Linked DNA regions of Rattus norvegicus. The protein of the gene in region 1 purifies or fractionates together with the protein of each later gene. This does not show direct contact. Links are inferred from orthologs where the notes say so. Each region holds a gene or a part of one and is shown on either strand. Other genes may lie near its edges. The genes, in order: Zfyve27 and Vapa.

What was found.
Region 2: the proteins of Zfyve27 (region 1) and Vapa purify together in Homo sapiens (co-immunoprecipitation; 3 studies listed by BioGRID and IntAct, counting the BioPlex papers as one, with this or other methods). This does not show direct contact. The link is inferred for Rattus norvegicus from reciprocal best matches to the Homo sapiens genes ZFYVE27 and VAPA.

What each region holds. Positions count from the first base shown.
Region 1 is NC_086019.1:250,927,553-250,932,041, forward strand, and holds the start of Zfyve27 (protrudin), read left to right. Parts: upstream 1-1,578; 5' UTR 1,579-1,763; intron 1,764-2,478; 5' UTR 2,479-2,479; coding exon 2,480-2,676; intron 2,677-4,489. UniProt on the Homo sapiens protein: Key regulator of RAB11-dependent vesicular trafficking during neurite extension through polarized membrane transport. Promotes axonal elongation and contributes to the establishment of neuronal cell polarity.
Region 2 is NC_086027.1:112,651,757-112,656,023, reverse strand, and holds the start of Vapa (vesicle-associated membrane protein-associated protein A), read left to right. Parts: upstream 1-1,292; 5' UTR 1,293-1,523; coding exon 1,524-1,602; intron 1,603-1,801; exon of another isoform or gene 1,802-1,998; intron 1,999-4,180; exon of another isoform or gene 4,181-4,267. UniProt on the Homo sapiens protein: Endoplasmic reticulum (ER)-anchored protein that mediates the formation of contact sites between the ER and endosomes via interaction with FFAT motif-containing proteins such as STARD3 or WDR44.

The DNA.
Region 1 (4,489 bases):
ACCACATGGTGGCTCACAACCATCTGTAATGGGATCTGATGCCCTCTTCTGGCATGTCTGAAGGCAGCTACAGTGTACTCATCTATAATAAATAAGTCTTTAAAATTTTTTTTCCCTGTGGATCTTGTCTCTAGGAGAAGAAGCGTTACTAAGAGCAAAGATTTCAGGGCTGGAGAGATGGCTCAGTGGTTAAGAGCACTGACTGCTCTTCCAGAGGTCCTGAGTTCAAATCCCAGCAACCACATGGTGGCTCACAACCATCTGTAGTGAGATCTGATGCCCTCTTCTGGTCTGAAGACAGCTACAATGTACTTACAAATAAATAAATCTTAAAAAATTAAAAAAAAAAAAAAAGAGTAAAGATTTCAGAGCCTGTGGGACAATGACCAGCCTTAAGGAAGTGGGAAGAGTTGAGATTCCCCGTACAGCTGAGTCCTGACTGGCAGAGCAGGTGTGCCTGTTTCTCTGAAAAAGAGATGCTGGACGGATGTCAGGGAAGCTTTGGGGTGGTTCAGAGGAGTGGTTATTGTCGGTTGAGCGGCCTTCCCTGGCTGCTCACACCTGAGTCCTGCTAAGACAGTTGGTTTGCTTGCCTTTGGATGGAAGCAAGAAGCCGGGCAGGCAGGTGTGACAAGCAATTTGAGGAGTTGGCAGGAGTCCAGGGCCGTTGCAGGTAAAAACGGGGTTCAGTTGGCTGAGGCACTTGAAAGAGAACAAACAGCAGGATAGATGAAGCCAGTAGTTGCAGACTCATGTGGGCGGTGGTATGGCTGGGGTTACTGGCATCCAGTGATATATTTGGCTCAAATCCCAGTTCCAAGAGGTTTATGTGCTGTGACATTAAAGAAGTTACTTACCATGACTACAATTCCTCATCCGTGAAATGGTGATAACCCCAACAGGGTTGGTTATTGAAGGAGGAACAGATGAGATAATGTGAACACAAAGCTTACTGTACTGCCTGGCTGTTGGTTAATGCAAACCCATGGGAAGTGTGTTTTAAGGGACACCAGCTGGGTCACAAGATGTGAAGAAGAGTTAGGAACCAAGGAACCACCGGTCTGTCTCTGCTAGGCACCTGACATACAAGATGTGTTTTCTGCCTTCCCTAGCCTCTTTTTTATCCAGATTTTTATCCAGTTTTTATCCAGATTTTCTTTCTTTTTTATCCTTCTCCACCCCCACCCCTACCCTTTTTTGTTTTTGTTTTTGTTTTTGAGCCAGGAGCTCCCATAGCCAAGGCTGGCCTTGAACTAGCCTCCAGCCTCAGAAACTCAAAGGCTGTGGTTACAAGAAGTGCGTCACCACGCTAGGCTCTGTAACTGTCCTTGCTGTAATGTTCCGGAGCTAGGCTGGCTCCCAGGAATTAGGTCCTAGGTTTCCGGGTCATTAAAAGTGAGTCATCTCTTGTATGGCAGGGACGGAGTTAACCAGAAATTAGCCACAGAGGGGAAAAGTGCGCAGGCGCAGTATCGACGAGCTCGATCACCTGCGCTTGGGTGGGAGGGGCTAAACTCGGAGGCCCGACCCAAGGCGGGACGGGCGAGGTGACGTCACGGGCGCGCCACCGCAGAGTGAGTCGCGTCCCGGAAGCGACGGCGGTGGTGGGGCAGACTGTTCTCTGGTGGACTTGCGATTTCGGAGCGTCTGTGGGAGGTGGCGCGGCGTGGGGTGGGGCGGGCCTGAGGGGCCGCTCCCGGGCTTGGTGGCCCTTCTGTCCCCTTGGGCGCCCCTGCCCCTCCCATTCCTGGGACAGTGTCCGGGTAGGTGACGACCATCACGCCCCAGCCCCACTGTATTTATTTACAGAGCCTGGTGCTCCCGTCGGGAGGGGACCGCCACCTGCTGGCACAGCGATCTTAGGCGTGGCCTGCCTTGCGCCGCCTGGGAGGTGATGGTGGTCGAGGCCTCTGTCCGCATTGACCTGCTGAGCCTGTCTCGCGCTAGCCCGGGTTTGCTTTCTTCCTAGCACGTTCTATCGAGAGTTTGGGGTCCAGTGGACTCCTTTCCAAGTGATGAAAGGAGCCAGGGTTAAGAGCGTGACAAGAGTGTTGTTAGGAAAAATTCATGAACCTTTGGGAGCCCTGGTAAGGGTCACCCAGTGTACACTAGCGCGTTCATAAAGACGTCCCAGAGCAAGATGGTCCCCTAACCCTGACACCTGAAGGATGAGTAGGGGAAAAGAGAGGAGAAAGATATCACAGGACATCTTTTCTCTTGGGATTACCAATTACCTCCCTTCAACAATTAATGGCTTGTATGCTCTTGAAAAGTCTGTGAGGGAAAAGAGCGTTGGAGGGGCTCGTGAAGAACAGGCTTTATATCGAAGGTATCCCCTTCACTCTGCTGTTCTTCAGAAGGAACAAAGTTTCTTTCCGTGTGAAACGGGTATTGGTGCTTACCTCACATGGTTGATGCAAGGGGAAATGTGTTTGAAGACTGGACATGCATTGTGAGTGTGGGGAATTACGATTACAGAATGCAGTCTTCGGATCGGGACCTGAGTGGACCAGAGGCGAGCCCCAGCGTGATGCCTGAGGTTCTCTCTGAGTGTTCACCTGCCCCTACCAAGTCAACAGCGTTTGATCTTTTCAACCTGGTTCTGTCCTACAAGAGGCTGGAGATCTACCTGGAACCCCTGAAGGATGCAGGTGACGGTGTTCGATACTTGCTAAGGTACAGATTTCAGGGGTTGTTCTTCCTTTGGGCTCTCTTGTCTCCCTGGTCTTTAGCAGTTCTGGCCAGTTGGCAGTAGTCGGGCTGTCCTTTCTGCTCCAGTGATGACTAGTTCTGGTGAGACTAGTTGTCTGACCTCTAGACTTATTCAGAGCTAGTTGTGTTCTAGCTCTGTGCAGGAAAGGTGGGATCTGGGAACCACTTGGTCTTCCTCAGGACTCTGTGGTTGGATAAGCTCCTCTTAGGTACTGTCAGAAAGCCTTGGACATTGGCCTGGTATAGCTTAGAGCAGACTCTGGTCCGTCCCCCCACCCCCTTCTCTCCTAATATTAGCATAATTAATCTTAAAATCCTGGTTTTATTATTTTGTATGCATGTGGCATTGCGTGCAGGTCAGAGGGCAGCTTTTGGGAGTTGGTTCTCCTTCCATGGTGCATTCTAGGGATCAAACTCAGGCTTGGCAGCAAGCACTCTACTGGCTAAGCTATCTCACCGTCAAGTTATAATTTTAAACAAACCTCAACTACAAATACCTTTGAAAAAACTAGATGCCATTTTTATTTGTTATTTAGGATTATGGTTCTCAAATTTTTTCCTATTTTGCTTCATTTTATCCTCTGTAATTTTCTTCTAGGCTCCTTAACTTTTCCTTTTGTTGACGGTAGTCTGAAACTCGTAGTTCAGGCTGCTTGAAGACTTACAACAAATGTTCTGTTTCAGACTCACAAGTACCAGGACCAACTTGCTTAAAAAAATGTTTGGTGTTTGTTTGTTTTCTGAAACATGGTCTCATTGTGCATCCCTGGCTGTCCTGGAAGACACAGAGGTCTGACTGCCACTGTCTGCTGTGCTGTGATTAAGGGCACCACCATGCCTAGCCTGTGTTTTTTACATTAAAAATTATTTTCCTTAAGTGATTTATCTACGTTTTTAGATTTTACGTGTATGGCTTTATTATCTGTATATATTTCTGTGTACCATGTGTTTGTTTGGTGTCCTCAGAGACCAGGAGAGGTTGTCAGATCACCTGGAACTGGAGTTACATATGGTTTGACCTGCCGTGGGGGTGCTGGGAACTGAACCTGGGTCTTAACCAATGAATCACCTCTTCATCTCCTGGCTTTATTTATGTTAAAAAGTATTTTATCTGAGAATATGCCTATAATCCCAGAATTTAGGAGGTAGAGACAGGAGGATCAGATGTTCAAAAATCATCTTTCACTCCGTAGCAAGTTTGGGGCCAGCCTGAGCTATTTAACACCCCCTTCTCCCCAAAAAAGAACAGAACAGAAAGATAGCTTTAATTGCAAATAAATGGCTTTGCACTTCTGATTACTTCAGTTTATTTTTTTTAATGTATTTACTTATTTTATATATATGGATACACTGTAGCTGTCTTCAGACACATCAGAAGAGGGCATCAGATCTCATTACAGATGGTCATGAACCACCATGTGGTTACTGGGAATTGAACTCAGGACCTCTGGAAGAGCAGTCAGTGCTCTTAACCACTGAGCCATCTCTCCAGCCCCAGTTTATGTTTTTTAATAAAGGCATTTGATATCATCAAAGTCATGTTATACTTAGTTAAAAGTAATTCTTTGATATCTTTCTCTGGTCATTTCCCACTTTCCAATTTTTTCCAAGGATGTCACGGACACTTGTTTTGCATCTCCTGTCAGGTTCCTATCCAGCACTGTATTTTTTGTGGTTTTTATATCCTATAAGTCTTTTTCAAACTAAACCAGGCTCTTGTTTCATGTACTGGTTTTCTGAAGTGGCTGGACTCACTACCCTGGAGAATTTCCTTCTG
Region 2 (4,267 bases), on another chromosome or scaffold:
GTTAGGATACAAAGTAAGCATTCAAAGAAGGAAAACAAACTTTTTTTTGTGATCAATGTTTTATACCACAATTTTATATCCTATATACCCAGGGTGGCATAAAAATTTCTCAGGTGACGGGACGGAGAGTTGAAAAAGTTTAATTAGCTGTATTCTAGACTGCCCATTTTCGACATTTACTTTCCAGACAGTCTAGGATGCCTTTCCGTGGCAGAAGCATCAATACGTGCTTTGTTTCGCACGGAGCTTCCTAGAGATTTAAATTCAAGCAGTACCATAGGACACAATAAAGGTTTATTTTTACAGCACATCCATTTGTTTTGTTTGCTCTTCCCGTCCCTGGATACCCTGGCAATGAGCTGAATATCTGTCAGCAATTTGCTTGGCAATTTTTCTCATTTGGTATAGGCTCTCCTAAGTGATGCAGATAAAATTCGTCCCTAGCACGGCACGAGAACCAGGCAAACAGATTTGGAATGAGCCACACTGTAGATACAGCACGTGAATTCCACGCCGTAGGAGCAGACATTTGGTTTCTACCCTTGATTATTTGTGCCTGGCCTAGATTTCCCCTGGAACCCGTTTGCTTTTGCGCGAGGTGTGTTTCCCTTTGCTGGGCAGGAGGGAGATCCGGGAGGCAGCTTTGGAACGGCAGGGTTAGAACAGAGCGCGCGTCCGCAGAGGGCGGAAGGAATCCCGGGCAGACCAGACGGACACGCCCTGCCGCTTTCCCAAAGGGCCGTCTCTCCTGGGATGCCTGGCTCCCAGGCAGCCTGCAAAAACCCTTTTCTTTTTCCAATGCAGACGAGACAACCTCGGCGAGCCAAAAGCAGAGTCAGCGGCCCCACCCACTCGCCTCCAACGGACCCGGGTTGCCTTCCCGGTTCCCAGCAGCCCCCGCGGAGACGCCGCCCGCACGGGGCATGCTGGGAGTCGAGGTACCCGGCACTTCTTGACTGTCTTCCGTTCGGAATTCCACTTGGAACGCTGTGAGGTAGCATCGTAGTCGGCGCTACAGCCCCGCATTCGCAGCTCCAGGGCGCCAAGAACGACGCCCCTCGCCCGGCGCCGCGCACCCCGTCTCCCACAAACAGCCCTACTACGCCCCCTGCACGCTCTACAGAGATTGACAGCAGCGCGGCGCAGGGAGCTGCGGCCAAGTCGGAGGTGCGCAGGCGCACTAGCTCAGCGCCGAGCCCAGTTAGGCCCGGAGGGCGGGGCCAACACGAGGGCTCTGGGCCGCGGGGGCGCGCACGGAGACACGTAAGGCCGTCACGTGGGGAGCCGAGGATCGCAGTGCGCGTGGCCGCGGCGACTGGTGTGGGGTTGAGTCAGTTGTGACACCCGGAGCTGCTGACCCGACAGGCAGCCCTCGGGACCCGCGGCCCGGCAGCAGGCGCGGAGCTTCGGGAATCGTGAGCCTGGCCCCGTCCTAGAGCTCCGCGGAGCCGGCGCCGCCACCGTCCCCCGCCCCCGCCAGCGAACCGCCGCCGCGGGCGCGCCCCCGCTCTGCGCTGTCTCCTATGGCGTCCGCCTCCGGGGCCATGGCGAAGCACGAGCAGATCCTGGTCCTCGACCCTCCTTCAGACCTCAAATTCAAAGGTAGGCTGGCTGGGACGCGCCCGAGCGGGGCTGGGGCCGGCGGGCGGCGGCGGGGTGGACGGGCTGCGCTCCCCTCCCCCACGCCCGGACCGAACGTCGGAGCCGCGGCTCCGCTGCGTCCCTCCGCTCGGCGCCTCGGCGTCCGCCGCTGCCGGGCCGGGCTGCGGAGGGGAGGGGAGGGAGCCGGACGGACGCCGCGGAGGGCTCTGCCCGGAGCCGCCGCCATCTTGCGGCCCACGGGGGCGCCGCGGGAGCCCGCCCGCGCCTTGCCCGCCCGCCCGCATGGCGTCCTTGCCCCAGGGCGGCCGCGGCGCGGTCCAGGCTGTGCGAGCCGGAGGCTGGGAGCAAGAGCTCCGGGGTCTGCGGGCGCCAGCGGGCGACGTTCCGCGCCTTTGGGTAGGCACGGCCCGCGGGCGAGGCGCTCAAGACCGCGGGCTTCGCCCGGAGTCTTCCCTGTCAGGTGCCGGACTCTGTCAAGCCGGGAGACCCAGCAGTGTCTGGCTGGGACTGACCCCGAGTGTTGGCACGGCCCCAAGCGCGCGGCAGAAAGCTGTGCGTCAGCTGGGGCATGCATGGTCGTAGGTTAATGGGAGTGGGTCCCTTGGGTCACGTCGACTCGTCCTTAGGTACGGAGGACCCAGCCCTTGTGCTCCTAGTCCTTGAGTTCACACTGTCTTTTTACTGAAGACGACTCAGGGTCTGTGACCCTCTTACGTTTGCGGTTTCCCAGCATACCCGGAGAAAGCTGATAAGGTGCCACACAGCTCTGGAACTGTTGACTTTGGAGCACTGACTGTGATAGACAATCACTGGTTTGGTGATCCTTGTTCAGATCCGAGGCCGTTTGCCTTCTCAGTGTGTAGGAAACGAAAAGTTATACAGAACAGTTTACTGCATTTTAAGGAGCTAAAAAGAACACGTGCTTCCTATCTTTAAATGAAAAGTGCCCCCCTCCCCCTTTGGAAAGTTAATACCTTGCGTTTTAATTTCAGCAACTGGTGAAAACAATTTCCCTTAAGCGCATATCGATTCCAGTAGGAAAAGAAAAAGTAAACCCATTATAGTAGTGTAAAAGTGAGTCCACATGAAAATAGCTGAATTGTCCTTGTAGGAACAATTTAAAATAGTTCCAGATACTTAAGACTTTTATATTTTAAATAGTTTAGGACTTAAACATGTGGTATTCTGCTAGTAGCATGCCCTGCAGGCGTTTCAGTACATTCACAAGTTCCTCCGTACTAGACAAGAACTTGATTGTGATTTTAAGGCAGTTTTAATATGCTTGGAATTGGGTCGTGAACCACACTTATAATCCCGGCATTTTGGAAGTTCAGGAACCACCCAAAGTTTGAAATAAACCTGGACTACATGTGAGACACTTGACAGTGTCTCACCCTCCGGTATTTCGAGTGTATTTTGCTGCAGCAAATTTCTGGTTGCTTGATTTAAGTTTTTTTGGAGGGGAGTTGGGCGGAGTTTGCTGAGAAGTCCTCAGAGTATTTGTACTGTAGTAGCCATCATTAGTGGGAGCGATTTAATATAAATCTTGACGATATTCTGTGTGGTTTGCTTTCCCCCTTTTGACAGTGTAGAGCAAATTTTCCTTACTGCATAGCCATGTGTGAAAGGTATTTTATGAGGCAGGTTTTAAAAACCACCAGAAATTGTGCTGTATTCATGTAGATCACTCATTTTTGATATTAAATAATTACAACCGTGTTTATGCAACAGGCTCTGTGTTACCAAAAATCCCAATGCTGGTGGAAAAGGCATGTAAATGATACCGGGGCAGGAGCACGTCTGAAAGAAGCTCTTTTCTGTAGGAAACTCAAGGAAAAGGCTCTTGAAGTTGCCTGGGGAAAGTCATGCAAAGGGAGTGGTTGAGTAAATCGGAGTGAGATGAGATGCATAGACTCCAGTCGGTCAGACTTGTGGAAAGGTGGGAGAGATGGATATGATAGGGAGAGGTGCAGAGGGTTGAAGTGAGGTTTGCTGCTTTTCTCCTTAGTGTTACTTTGTCAGCCAGAGGTAACTTGGTACAGTGGAAGCCTCTGTATTTCAATGCACAGCTTTACACTAAGTAGGGTGATTTAGAATCCACTGTGCATCTTTTGGTTGACCATATCAAAAATTATTTAACTGATCTTTACATGTCTTTCATTTAAGTATAGGTTGTTTATACATTTCATTTTGCAAAATTACTTGATTGTGTGCAAGGTTTATTTGAATTATTTGGATTCAACAGTGGTTTCTTCAGGAGTGACTCAGCCATTCTGAGATTGACAGTTTTTCTTTAATATGAATAATGACTTGATAAGTGTTATAACTTTGTAGTTTACTTCTCATAACTAGTAATATATATATAAGTCTCTTGATTGTAGAATAAATTCTAAAGCAGACCTTTTAGAGCATAAAAAGATTCATTAAGAAAATTTTTGGTTGCTTAAATTCTAGCAATACTTTAACCAATAATTTAGATTTGAAATTGGATATTTCACAGAAAAAACTTTTTTGTTCCTAACATTTACTATATTATAAAATTTGTTTATTGTTTTGTGTTGCATTTTACTGTTCCTAGCTGTTGACAGTATTGAACTTTGAAGAAGAAAGTTTTGCAAAAAGAGAATTCTAAGTGTGTGCTTGCTCATAATGGTCAGGGGAAAGA